Oryctolagus cuniculus: one gene and its partners. The protein of the gene in region 3 purifies or fractionates together with the protein of the main gene of each other region. This does not show direct contact. Links are inferred from orthologs where the notes say so. Each region holds a gene or a part of one and is shown on either strand. Other genes may lie near its edges.

Region 1 (4,061 bases), on a different chromosome or scaffold from region 3:
TCATTCACTGCCTGGGCTTCACTCTGGCTGTTTCGAATCTGCGGCAGGCTAATTTTTAAGAGATAACCTGGTATGGTCTGCAAATGATGTTATAAATTTCCAAATGGCTCCCCACCCTGTCCCATGTTACTGAGCTGCAACAGGAGGGGGGGATCGCACCCAGCAGGTGACGGAAGGTCACAGAAAAAGGTGCTGAGGACTGACGATGGGGAATCAGCAAAGTGGGCTCATCCGGATCTATTTGTAAATAAGATTCAGGTAGAGCGATTTAACATAAGTGGAGATACTAATCCTTAAATCCCTTGAAAAATAGGGTGATGACTTGCCCCCCCCCCGCCCCCAACCTTCAATCCCTACTGGGTCCTAGGGATGTTAGCCTCAGTGGCTCGGAACCTCACCCGCATAACCCCACGTCTTCCGATGAGCTCATCCTTGGTTGGATAAAAGTTGTCCTCCATTATACTAATTTCTCTTCTAATTCCATTTTCCATTTGCATACATTGCTTTCGGAATCTGTCACGCGCTCCACTCACGGGATGGTAGCCCTGTGTGTAGAAGTTGCTCACGTCTGGAGACCACACCTGCCAAGCTGTGCGCTGAGAGCCACAAGTTACGACCCCAGAGGTGGACCGGGTGCGCCGACAGCGCCCACCTCGAAACCTAAGCGCTGGGTCTCCCTGGCAGGGGTGCGTCTTCCTTGAGGAACTGGCAAAGTCCTGTTCTGGCTGCTTCCACCCCTGCACGGTCCCTGCCCCCTGCCCCCTGCCCGGCACCGGACTCCTCCTTGGTACCTGCACCACCTGAGCGCACGCATCCTGGCCCTGCCCGCCCTTCCCGGGCGCAAGGCCCGGCCGTGCTGGCCACGGCTTTCTGACCACTGTCCTGTCCTGACCCCATTTTCCACCCTGGGTCCCCGCCGGTGTCGTGCGACAGGAGAAAGGAAAAGTTGGACGTGGTCACTTTGACCCCACCCCCGGCCCGGCCCCAGCTCGGAACCCCGGGGCTGCGGGGGCGGGAGGGAGACCCGCGACCAGCAGGCGGCCTAGGGCGTCCCCAGCGCCGCGCGCTGCCCGGGCACACAGGCGGGGCCCGCGCTCCGCGAGGCCTGGCCGCGCGCTCCGGCCCGCAGCGAGCGCGCCGGGGGCCCCCCGCGCGAGGCGGGGGAGGCGGCGGCGGGCGGGGCGCGCGGCGGCGGCGCGGACCCACGCGCTCGGGCCGCCCCTCCTCCCGCGCGCGCCCCGCCCCCGCCGCCGCCTCCCGGCCCCCGCCCTCCCGGCCTCCTCTCCCGGCCGAGCTGGAAGCCGGACCCAGGCCGCCGGGCCCGGCCTCGCCGCGCGCGCCCGCCATGGCCCGTGCCGTTCTCCCCTGGTAAAGATGGCGGTGCGCGCTCGCCGCCACCTTTAGACCCATGACTGTCCGCAACATCGCCTCCATCTGTAATATGGTGAGTGCCGCCGCGCCGGGCCACTAAGGGGACCCGAGCCGCGCGCACGCCGGCGCCGGGGCGCGGGCCAGGGCGCGGGGCCCCGCCGGAAGTTCCCGGCCGGGCCGGGCGCGCGGCCGAAGCCACCCCCACCCTGGGACCTGTGAGACCGGGGACCCGGGGCCGCACCGCCGTGCCCCCACCTCGGGTTGCGGTGGAAGCGTCGGGGGCCGGGAGGCAGCGACGCCCCGGGGCAGGGCTGCGGGCGAGGAAGCCCCGCTGTGCCCCCGCGCCGCCCCCTCTGGGTCCGAGTTCAGCCCTTGGGCTTCGCCTGAATCCACTTTGCAGCGGCAGTCGGTGGTGGTCTGCAGAAACCTGCCGTGTGATGGAGCTGTGGAAAAAGTGCGGTTGGGGAAGTGAACTTCAACCTGGCCTGGGAAGGCGCCGCGGTGGTGGGGTCTCATGCCGCGGTTTCCCCGTCTCTGCAGAGGGGGGCGGGGACCTGGACGGGCAGGAGGGCTCCGGGCTGCCCTGCCTGATCCCCCGCGGGCCACCGGCTGCTGGCTGGCGTGCACCCGGCCAGGGGCTCTGCAGTGGGCCCTGACGGGGGTCTGGGGCCGTGGCCTGGTGGGGACTGTAGTTTCTGTTTCTCCCATTGCTTTCTGCAGCAGCAGCTCCCACTGAGTCCCCAGAGCCAGCCCTGCCCGTCTTCCCCTTGTCATAGCCCTGGGGAGCCCGGCTTGGGGTCAGGATGAGTGTGTGTCTGCATGCTCCTGCCCCTTGCCTGGCCTTCCCCGGCTGCAACGCGTGCTCCTGGGGTGCCACTTTGAGGCCGGGACCCCGAGGAGGCTGGGGGTGAGGTGTGCCGGCCGCCCCTCCTCCATCTCGGGCTCTTCTCTGCTTCTGCCCCACATTCTGTTGCAAGAGCCACACCGGCAGAGGAGCACGGAGAAGCCTTGTGTTAGCTCAGGGGCGGCTTCGGCTCTTAGCTCCGTGGGACTTGGCCACACTTGGCCGGGTGAAGGCTGGGGCGTCCCGGAGTGACAGCGGCACAGGTGTTGACATGGGGTGGGCTCCGTGGGGGGCTCCTGTCTCCTCTCCCTTCCTCTCTTTTTCCACGAGGAAGCGGGTTTCCTGCTTTTTGTCGAGTGGCGTGAACGCAGCTTGGTGCCGCTGGAGGAGATGTTTTCTCCTCGCTTCCCCTCGGCTGCTGCCAGTCCTGAAGCCACAGCCGCCGAATGCCTGCCTTCGGGCCTGCCGAGTAGCCAGGCTGGCCCTGAAACCCTGGTGCTGTTGACACCGCTCAGTGTGGAAGCAGCTTGGGGGACGCCGGCCTCCAGCTGCACCGCGGGCTTCTAGCGCACCTGGCTCCCGTGAAACACGCCAGGGAGAGGAGCCGCAGGAGGACAGGACAGGCAGGGGGGTGGCAGGCCCTTGCTGTGTCCGCGAGTGGGACCCCCGTGTGTGCAGCCCTGAAAGCCTGGCGGACCGAGGAGCTGCGCGCAGGCCAGGGGAGTTTTCTGTTCGCACGCCGGTCCTGTGTGTGGGGCGCGTGAGGCAGTTTCCGCTCTCAAGGCCTTGCCACTGCTGCTTCTAACTTAACGCCTCCCGGTCTTGGGGACAAGTTGCTCTTCTTTCCTTATCTTCAGTAAAGGGAGGATACTGGCTCTTACCTCATCCGGACAGTCGTGGCCGGCGCCTCACTGGGGTGCTGGGGCCGCTAGCAGTTGAGGTCAGCACCATCCTTCTCGGACAGGCCTGCGGTGGTTTTGGGCACTGGGGAGATGATGCATGGATACTGACAGCCCACCTGCTGCTTGGTGCAGGCCAGGGGAGGGCGGTGTGTGCAGAGGCTGCTCGGGGACCCCGCCCCTCCCAGCTGGCCTCCCACACATACCTGGAGTGGGCTGGGGATGAGGGGACTGCTGTGTTGCCACCCCATCAGACCTAAATGTTCTTTACACCCTCTTTAGAGGCTTTCCTCAGTGTGAACTGTTTCCAGCGCTGTCTTCTGGCTGGCTCCTCCCAGGGCTCAGCTTCTCTCTGGGGGCTCGAACTGGCCCTGCCCCTCCCAGGTCCACACACTCCCAGCTGTTTGAGTCGTTGTAGTAAGAGCCCGGGGGATTGCATTTTCATTTTTTATTTATTTCTTTTTAAAGCAATTTTTATTTTTTTAAAATATTTATTTGAGAGGCAGAGAGATGGATCTTCCATCCACTAGTTCACTCCCTAGAGGGTTGCAGTGGCCACAGCTGGGCTGATTTGAAGCCGGGACTGGGTCTCCTATATGGGCGCAGGGGTGCAATCAATTGGGCCATCCTCTGCTGCTTTCCCAGGCGATTAGCAGGAAGCTAGATCGGACAGAAGTGGAGCAGCTGGGACTTGAACTGGTGCCCGCATGCTATGCTGGTGCTGCAGGTGGAGGCCTAACCCACTATGCCACAGCGCTGGCCCCTATTTCTTTTTTTTTTTTTCTAAGATTTACTTATTTATTATTAAAAGAGTAAACACAGAGAGAGGGAGGGACAGAGAGAGATTTTTCCACCCTGTGGTTTACTTAAATGGCTGCAAGGCTGGGTACCAGGAACTCCATCTATGTCCCTGATGTGGGTGCAGGGGCCCAAGCACTTCTGTTGCT
Region 2 (4,166 bases), on a different chromosome or scaffold from region 3:
CCTGATAAAACAGCATAAATAAATTATAGTCCTTCTCCTGAAAGCCCTCCCAACCTAACAAGAGATGAGGAAACTCTACAAGACAGTATGGTAAATGCTACTGAGATTACAAAAACTCTGTGAATTTCTATGATGAGGAATGGGGAGGGGTGGTTTTGGACAGGGGCAGGGTTATTCAAGGAAGGCTACCTGTGTAACAGAGACAGGTACACACTTGCCACACAAGGACACGGTAGGGTGTTCCCAGTCTGGCAAAAACAGCATAGAGATAAGTAACTTCGCTGTTCTGGATTTTCAGTTTTGTAATTCTCACAAGATGCTTGACAGCTGCATTTAAAGAATAACTTATAACCTACTTCCAGAAATTCAGTACTATTTGGGAGGCCATTAGAATTTATTCAAATATGAATAAAGACACACCCAATTTTAATAGCACCTTTGGAACAGCCTCACTTGGCCAGGCATGGACATTTTGCCAACAATAAGTGCACCAATCTGCAATTAATGTACTGGGTGGAAACCCTAGAAAGAGCCTCACAGTCTGACATTCTTCAGATCAGAATGCCACTGACATAATGTATGACCTTGCAAAGCTCTGTGCCTCGTTTTCCTGATGTGACTTCAGCAAATACACACACACACACACACACACACAGAGACAGAGAGACTTGAATAGTGTCTGCCTCCCTCGACTAGAAGGTAAACACCATGAAAGCAGAAACTATGGGATCCCCAGCACTCAGCACAGTTTTTAGCACATGAATGAACAGTAAAGAGGATCACCCAATCCTGAAACCCTAGCCTTTGACAATGAACTATGACCCCACGAGGTGCACACTCAGCCATTTGGCAAAATTATCACTGTCAAAGACTTAATTATCACATTCACTTTGAAATCGACAGATAATAACTGGCGTGTCTACAAATAACGAGCTCACACCAACCTTGGAAATCATTTTAATAGAGTCCCTTCACCAATGCGTTCCTCAAATGTAAATCGTGAGAAAGAACAAACACCCGTTTGGGGAAAGGGATTCTTCAATGACTCATTCTTCCACATGACTTCTTCCTTGTCCAGGGTAGATTTTAAGCCCACCTGATTTCGGCCATATTTTGAAATTATTCCTCAACACCCAGGAGAGAAACTGCCTCTTACAAGCATCTCTGCGACCTAACTGCTCAAAGTAGGGAGACATTAGGTGCAAGGCTGCCCCGGGATCTCTTAGGAATTGCGACGCGTGAAAAAGAGCTCGTGAGACCAGGAACAAAAGACTTCACAAGTCTTCAGTACCATAACCACCAGGCTCACGTAGGAAAGAATAACTTTTTTGGGCGATGACTCATAAATTACGATCCCGACATATAAGCTCTTAAGGAGCTAATGAAAGGAAGTTGCCCCATCATGTGGAAAAATGTGGTCCTTCGGGCCAGGCACAGAAACACCAAGTTCTACATGCACTCAGAAAGCTTAACTGGAGACTCCGAAGGCGCATCCGCACTTCTCCCTTGAAGTCTGTTCAAAAGGCCCTAATGAAACAAATACCACCGCCCTTGCAGTCAGCCCCGCAACGGGACGCTGGCCGCTGCACACAGATGCGCCTGGGGGATTAAAGTGAGCAAATGAGAGGAAAGCTGCTTTTCCGAGATTAAAGTGGATGCCGGGGCCAAGCCTGACACCTGGACACACGCTGGAAACGGGGTTCCTCTGGGCGAGCAGAAAACGCAGAGAACGGCCACGCCACTTACTTAAAGTTTCCACCTACACTCACACTCACGGCGCCCCTGGCACGGGGTCGCACTTCTGCCTGGCCACAGCCACCAGAAGCAAACCTACACTTGACTTCCGTCCTCGCCTGGGCAGCAGCGAGCCTGCCCAGCCCGGCCGGCCGAGACCCTTCCTTCCTGCCCGCAGACCCCCGCCCCCGCCGCCGACGCCCGGCCACACGGAAACGGAGACGGCGCGGCCCCGCGGCCCTGCCCCTGCGACCCCCAGCCCGCCGCCGCGCTCCCACAGGCCGGCTGCGCCCAGCAGAGACCGGAGCAGGGCGGCCCGGGCTCGCCAAGGCCGGTGGCCGCCCCCAGCCCCCTGGCCACGTCCAGCACGGCGATCGCCCCTCGCAGCCCGGCCCGCGGGGCGCCTCCTCGGCCGCGGGGGCCGCTAATCGCCCGCGCTCCCCGCCCGCGCGCCGTCCAACCGCCCCCGCCCGGGCCGCCCGCCCCCGCGCCAGGCCCCCGCCAGCGGAGCTGAGGGACGGCGAGCAGGGCCGTCCGCCCGTCCGAGGAGTCCCGGGCCGCCCGCGCCGCACCTACCATGGTACAGATGGAGGCGAATTTGGAGACTGTCATTAGGATTTCCATCCGCCCAGCGCCATCTTCTACCCAATCACAGCGGCGGCGGCAGCAGCGGCGGCGGCGGCGGGCGGGGGAGGAGGGAAGCCGGGCCGCCCGCTCGCACCGCAGCCCGCGGGCGGACCCCCGAGCCGCCGCAGACCCACGCACCGAGCCTGCTGGGCCGCCGCTGCCGTCGTCGCCGCCGGCGCTCAGGCACTCCCTGCCTCGGGCCCCAGCCCCCGCCTGCCGGCCGCCCGCCCGCCCCCGGCTCCGCCCCGGCGCAGGGCGCAGCCGCTGCCTCGGGGCCCGCGCCTGCCCGCGAAGCCTGCCGCCGCACACCCCGCCCAGTGCGCTGGGGAGCGGGCTCCGCCGAGGCCCTAATGCCCGGCAGCTGCGCGGCCCCGCGGCACCGCCCCGCTCGCGCTCGGACCGCCCCGCGCGCGGCCCCGGCGCCGGAGCGCGAGCCCGGGGACTCGGGCCCAGCCCCTCCCGGCGCGCGGCCGGGGGCGGAGCCCAGGGCGGGCGCGCCTCCTGCCCGCGTCCCGCGCGGTCCTAGAGCCTGAGGGCCGCAGAGCCCGGGCTGCGGGCGCTGAACCGGGTGGAGCCGCGGCGGCTGCCGCTGGGCGAATCCTGGAGCAGGATTCGGAAAATTGTGTGTGGAGAGAGAGAAAAGCTGCTCTTGTACAGTGAAGCTATCCCGGGGCTAGTCTCAAGCGCTAGGTTTGTTTCTTTGTTCAGAATTTGGGTGCAAACGCTGTAGCTTACAAAAAGGCTAGCTACTTAAAAGCGAGGCAATAAACACAGTATGTTTGAATTAAAAGGAAGGGTAAGTAGTGGGGGAGGGGAAGGGAGCGAGCCCTACCTGCCTGCCTGCTTGTCAACCTGTCGCTGTAAATTTAGAATGTTTCTAATGATCGGCAAATTGAGCTGCGAAGTGGAGAGGGTCTCAGCCCGACAGTGATGATGGTGTCACGGGAACAAGGAAAGTGAGCCCAGCAAAATGTCAGAGATTCATACTTAAGCAGGGTTAGTTAGTGGGATGATAGCTCCTTTTTTATGCTACTTTTCTAAAAATTCGTACATGCACCCTGCTCTTCGTGTCTGGCAGCTCAGTTTTGTTTTCTTTTATTTAAGAAAGGACTTCAGGTGGGTCGGGTAGCTTTGGATGTGATTGTTTGACAGCTGAACTAGTGACGGGGTGCTTTTCTGGGGTTCCAGCATTTCAGCAGGGCTAAAGGCCCGAATTCAGGCCGACCTCTAAAATTAGGTATAGATTCAAAGCCTTCGAACACCAAAACAAAGCGAGCTACGTTTGGATGAAGAATGGATTTCTGCTACGTGAATGCTGTTTCCATAGTGATTCTGTTATAAGCTTGCTTGGGAGTGAAGAAATGCCGAGTGGGTGCAGCCGCGTGCCAAGGTAGCCAGCCTCGTTCTCCCGTGCCTGCCTTCTGCGAGGCTAGGCACTCTCCCTCCTGCCCTTGATGCCGGGTTAGTGGCTAAGGCCGTGTTTTCACCTCTGTGCATTCATGTCAAGCCTAGGGAGGGAAGCCAAGAGGCAAGTCCTCTACCCCTCCCAGCATCTCCCAGCCCCTGGACGCCATGTAGGAGACAGCTGAATTCCCAATGAATGTCATGGTTCCTAACTGCAGAGCCTCGCAATGGCTTATCTGCTCAAACAAAAAGCACTGTGCTGACCAAATAGACGAGCTTCAGCCCCAGCTCATTTCCTTGCTTGGGTCCTGAAGCTATCTGGGTATATTCTGTAACTTACGTATTCAGAAGAACCCCCAAGAGTCAACTGTACACAAAGTCAACTTTTGCTAGGCACAAGA
Region 3 (4,207 bases):
GCTGGCAGTGCCTCCAACTCTGGCCCCACCGTCCAGGGTTTCACTTTGTCTTGACAGCACTAGGGAGCCCTGGGGGTCGGGGGTGAGCAGGGGAGGGCCCTGACCGCACTTCTGTTCTGCAGGGCTCCCTCTAGGGCCAGGCGTTGGGCACCGTGGCTGAGACCCCCGCTGCTTGGGGGCCCACGCCCCACATCACAGTGCCTGGGTTTGAGTCCTAACCTCTGCTCCCAATCCCAGTTTCCTGGAATGTGCGCCCTGGGAGGCAGCAGGTGATGGCTCCTATCTGAGACCCGGGTGGCTCCGGGCTTTGGCCTGGCCCAGCCCTGGCTGTTGCAGGCATTTGGAGAGTGAGCCAGTAAGTGGGATATATATATATATATATATATATATATATATATATATATATATGAAAGAAGCAAGGCCCTCCAGATACCACATGGCGGCAGAGGGAGTGAGACAGGAGGCTGGAGATCAGACAAGGCTGGTGCGGGAGGCTCAGGGCTGTGAAGAGGAGAGGAAGGCCTGGGTGTGGAGGTGACGAGACACCAGCTCCCGGGCCCCATGACTGAGCGCGTGGCAGCACAGCGCCATGGTGAGGCCTAAGGACTGGCAGGAAGGGGGCAAGGTCGTAGGACTCGTTGAGTGGGAGATGCCCCCTGGGAAGTCCCTGTGAGGAATCCAGAAGCCACCGAGTCCGTGGGACTAGCAGGCTCTGCGTTGGGGGCAGGGTCGGCTTCCCCAGGAGAGGGGCGTGGCTCTCACTGCGGGCAGGTGGGTCACCGGGGACATTGGCGGTATTGTGGGACCGAAGACATTCTGGGGTCATAGCTGGGTTTAGGAAGATGAGGTGACTGAAGGCGGTGGAGTTACGGAGGTACGTAACGGAGGGGGTACACTATACGGAGGATGTTTGGGGTTACTGTTAATCAGTAGCGGGTCAGATGAAATTCTTGGAGTTTCTGGGGCCAGCAGGGATGGGGGGAGGGAACCCATGGTGCGGGGGTGGGTAGGGGAGTAATGGTTGAAGATGCTATCAGGGTCTTCAGGAAGACAGTGGAAAACACGAGGTCCGGACGGTGCGGAGACTCTAAAGGAGACGCACTGGGGTCAGCTGTGACGTCATAGAGAGGCCGGGTCAGGGAGGATGCCTTCCTTTGCTGGTCCCTGCGTTGCTAGGCAAACGGTTCCTAGGGCGCTGTTGCTAGGGACCGGAGCGCTCAACTGACCACGCCCCCTTCCACTGCGGGCCACGCCCCACAGCCAACCAGGAGCCGCTCACAGGCGCGGAGGCCACGCCCACCGCCCCGCCCCGCCCACAGCCCCCGGACCGTTACCCGAGCGACGGTCGCGGTTCGTCCCGCCCTCGGATCCGGGTGCCAATCGAAGAGGCGTCGCCGGGGCGACGACCCCACCTCTTCCGGCGCGGTCCCGCGGCTTCCGGCAGGGGGCCCGGCGGCGGGCGACTGTCCGGCAGCTGCGGGGCCCGGGGGGCGCCCAAGATGGCGGCGGGCGGCGCGGAGGGCGGCTCGGGCCCCGGCGCCGCCATGGGGGACTGCGCGGAGATTAAGTCGCAGTTCCGCACCCGCGAGGGCTTCTACAAGCTGCTCCCCGGGGACGGCGCCGCTCGCAGGTCCGGTCCGGCTTCCGCCCAGACCCCGACGCCGCCCCAGCCGCCGCAACTCCCGCCCGGCCCTGCCGCCGCCTCCGGCCCCGGCGCCGCGGGCCCCGCGTCGTCCCCGCCGCCCCCCGGCCCTGGGCCCGGGCCCGCGCTGCCCGCCGTGCGCCTCAGCCTCGTTCGCCTCGGGGAGCCCGACGGCGCCGGGGCCGGGGAGCCGCCGGCCACGCCCGCGGGGCTGGGCGCGGGGGGCGACCGCGTCTGCTTCAACCTGGGCCGCGAGCTGTATTTCTACCCGGGCTGCTGCCGCCGCGGGAGTCAGCGGGTGAGGCCTGGGTGCTGAGGAGTGAGGGAGGGCCCGCCGTGGGCAGCCCAGGTGTGGCGGCCATCCCGGGCAGACGGGCCGCTGGCAGGTCATGCGGCTTTGGGAGGCGTGACAGGAGGTCCTCGCGATGCTGCGTGGGCGTTGAGGGTCGAGCGGGGGCATCAGAGATGAGGTGGGGTCCCCGGGCCCTAGGGGGCCGGCGCTCTGCCGGTGCTTGGGAATCCCGAGGTGCCGCAGGCTCAGGGGCGTCTGCAGGTGTGGTGGGGGGTGGTCCTTGAGACTCGGGGAGCCCAGGGCTGTAACAGGCCTTTTGAGGGTGACCCGGTCAGCAGCTGGGGGATCCGAGGCCATGAGAGGCCCTGGTGGGGAGAGCCCCAGGTGTCGGCATCGCTACAGGACCGGGGTGGGGGAGTTGAGGGGCCTCTGCAGTTTATGGGGGTCCCCAGGAATGAGGGGATCTGGAGAGCCCAGAGCTATGAGGGTAGCAGAAATGTGGGGGTACCATGAGGCCGGCTGGGTCCCTGAACGGGGGGGTAGGGTCGTGAGGTTTGGGGGCTCCAGATGGGAGGGAACCCTGGGACGCCGGGCTTTAGCGTTCCAGGGGATTGTGGGGCCCCGAGGTTTTGGGGTCTCAGAATGTTGTGCCAAGTCCCAAGGGAGCTGCTGAAGCTCCAGGTTGGGGCAGGGCTGGGAAGAATCGAGCTCAGGGCCCAGGGGACCCCGAACCCTGCAGGCAGGGTGGCCCCGGCTTCGGCACGGCTGGGTCGGGGCTGTCGGGCAGGGTTCCCGGGGCGGGGGCTGTAGGGCAGTGTGTCCCTGGATTCGGCACGGCGGGGCAGGGGCTGTCGGGCAGGGTGTCCCGGGGTGGGGGCTGTCGGGCAGGGTGACCCCGGATTCGGCATGGCGGGGCAGGGGTTGGTGGGCAGGGTGACCCCAGATTCGGCACAGTGGGGCAGGGGCTGTCGGGCAGGGTGTCCTGGGGCGGGGGCTGTAGGGCAGTGTGACCCCGGATTCAGCATGGTGGAGCAGGGGTTGGCGGGCAGGGTGTCCCGGGGTGGGGGCTGTCAGGCAGGGTGACCCCTGATTTGGCACGGCGGGGCAGGGGCTGTCGGGCAGGGTGTCCCAGGGCGGGGGATGTCGGCCAGGGTGACCCCGGATTCGGCACGGCGGGGCAGGGGCTGTCGGGCAGGGTGACCCGGATTCGGCACGGCGGGGCAGGGGTTGGTGGGCAGGGCGTCCCGGGGTGGGGGCTGTCGGGCAGGGTGACCCCGGATTTGGCACGGCGGGGCCAGGGTAGTCCAGCCTCTGGAGGCGCCGTGGGGAGGGGTGGAGACCCTCATAGTCATTTTCCCCTCTACTGTGTGTGATCCAGGCTGCCTTCCTGTCTGTGGCCGCCCCCTCCCCGCGCCGGCTGCCCACTTCCCTCAGGGATTTAACCCTGCTTCCTCTCGGTGGTTCCCCCAACCTCAACACCCTCTTCCTTCCTCCCCTGCAAACCATCAACTCCTCCCTCCTCCTCCCTCCTCCCCCCAGTCCATCGACCTCAAGAAGCCCATCGACAAGCGGATCTACAAGGGCACGCAGCCCACCTGCCACGACTTCAACCAGTTCACCGCCGCCACGGAGACCATCTCCCTGCTGGTGGGCTTCTCAGCCGGCCAGGTGCAGTACCTGGACCTCATTAAGAAGGACACCAGCAAGCTCTTCAATGAGGAGGTGAGTGCCGCGCCCGGGCCGCGGCGGCCATGAGCGGAGGGGGAGGGGCAGGGAGACAGGTGACGGTCGGAACAGCGCGGTCCCGTGCCCAGCACCACACGGCTGAGTTGTCATGGAGAGGTGGGTGCGGATCGGGGCGCCCACTTCACAGGCGGGAAGACTGAGGCTGGTGGTTAGCTGGGAGTCGCTCGCTGCCCCTGCTCCACCAGTAGCTCACCCGTGACCTTGGGAAGGCGCCCGGTCCCTGAGCCTTGGTTCTCCTCCTCCGCAGAAAGGGATCCGCGTCCACGCCTCCTAGGGCCACTGGAAATGAGCGCAGGCAGCTGTGTCCGGGTGGCTGGGCGCAGGCGCCACAGAAGCCCTTGTCTGCGGCGGGGACGCCGTGTCCCACGGCCTGTGTCTGCCTGGCAGGAGGGAGCCGGTGGGACGCTGAATGGGCGAGAAATCGATTAGCTCCTTGCAGTGAGTGCTGCCCGTGCCAGGTTCCGGCCGCCGGAGGCGGGGGCGGGCCCTGAGCGGAGCTGGCCATGTGCCAGCAGGTGGCCACACTG

What was found. Proteins that work in one complex are often made in the same cells at the same time.
Region 1: the proteins of DMWD (region 3) and USP46 purify together in Homo sapiens (affinity purification with mass spectrometry; 5 studies listed by BioGRID and IntAct, counting the BioPlex papers as one, with this or other methods). This does not show direct contact. The link is inferred for Oryctolagus cuniculus from reciprocal best matches to the Homo sapiens genes DMWD and USP46.
Region 2: the proteins of DMWD (region 3) and USP12 purify together in Homo sapiens (affinity purification with mass spectrometry; 3 studies listed by BioGRID and IntAct, with this or other methods). This does not show direct contact. The link is inferred for Oryctolagus cuniculus from reciprocal best matches to the Homo sapiens genes DMWD and USP12.

The regions. Positions count from the first base shown.
Region 1 is NC_091439.1:110,974,140-110,978,200, forward strand, and holds the start of USP46 (ubiquitin carboxyl-terminal hydrolase 46), read left to right. Parts: upstream 1-1,257; 5' UTR 1,258-1,408; coding exon 1,409-1,444; intron 1,445-4,061. UniProt on the Homo sapiens protein: Deubiquitinating enzyme that plays a role in behavior, possibly by regulating GABA action. May act by mediating the deubiquitination of GAD1/GAD67.
Region 2 is NC_091440.1:87,334,988-87,339,153, reverse strand, and holds the start of USP12 (ubiquitin carboxyl-terminal hydrolase 12), read right to left. Parts: upstream 2,805-4,166; 5' UTR 2,359-2,804; coding exon 2,311-2,358; exon of another isoform or gene 1-2,310. UniProt on the Homo sapiens protein: Deubiquitinating enzyme that plays various roles in the regulation of the immune response and inflammation.
Region 3 is NC_091449.1:11,217,774-11,221,980, forward strand, and holds the start of DMWD (dystrophia myotonica WD repeat-containing protein), read left to right. Parts: upstream 1-1,402; 5' UTR 1,403-1,499; coding exon 1,500-1,940; intron 1,941-3,473; coding exon 3,474-3,656; intron 3,657-4,207. UniProt on the Homo sapiens protein: Regulator of the deubiquitinating USP12/DMWD/WDR48 complex. Functions as a cofactor that promotes USP12 enzymatic activity.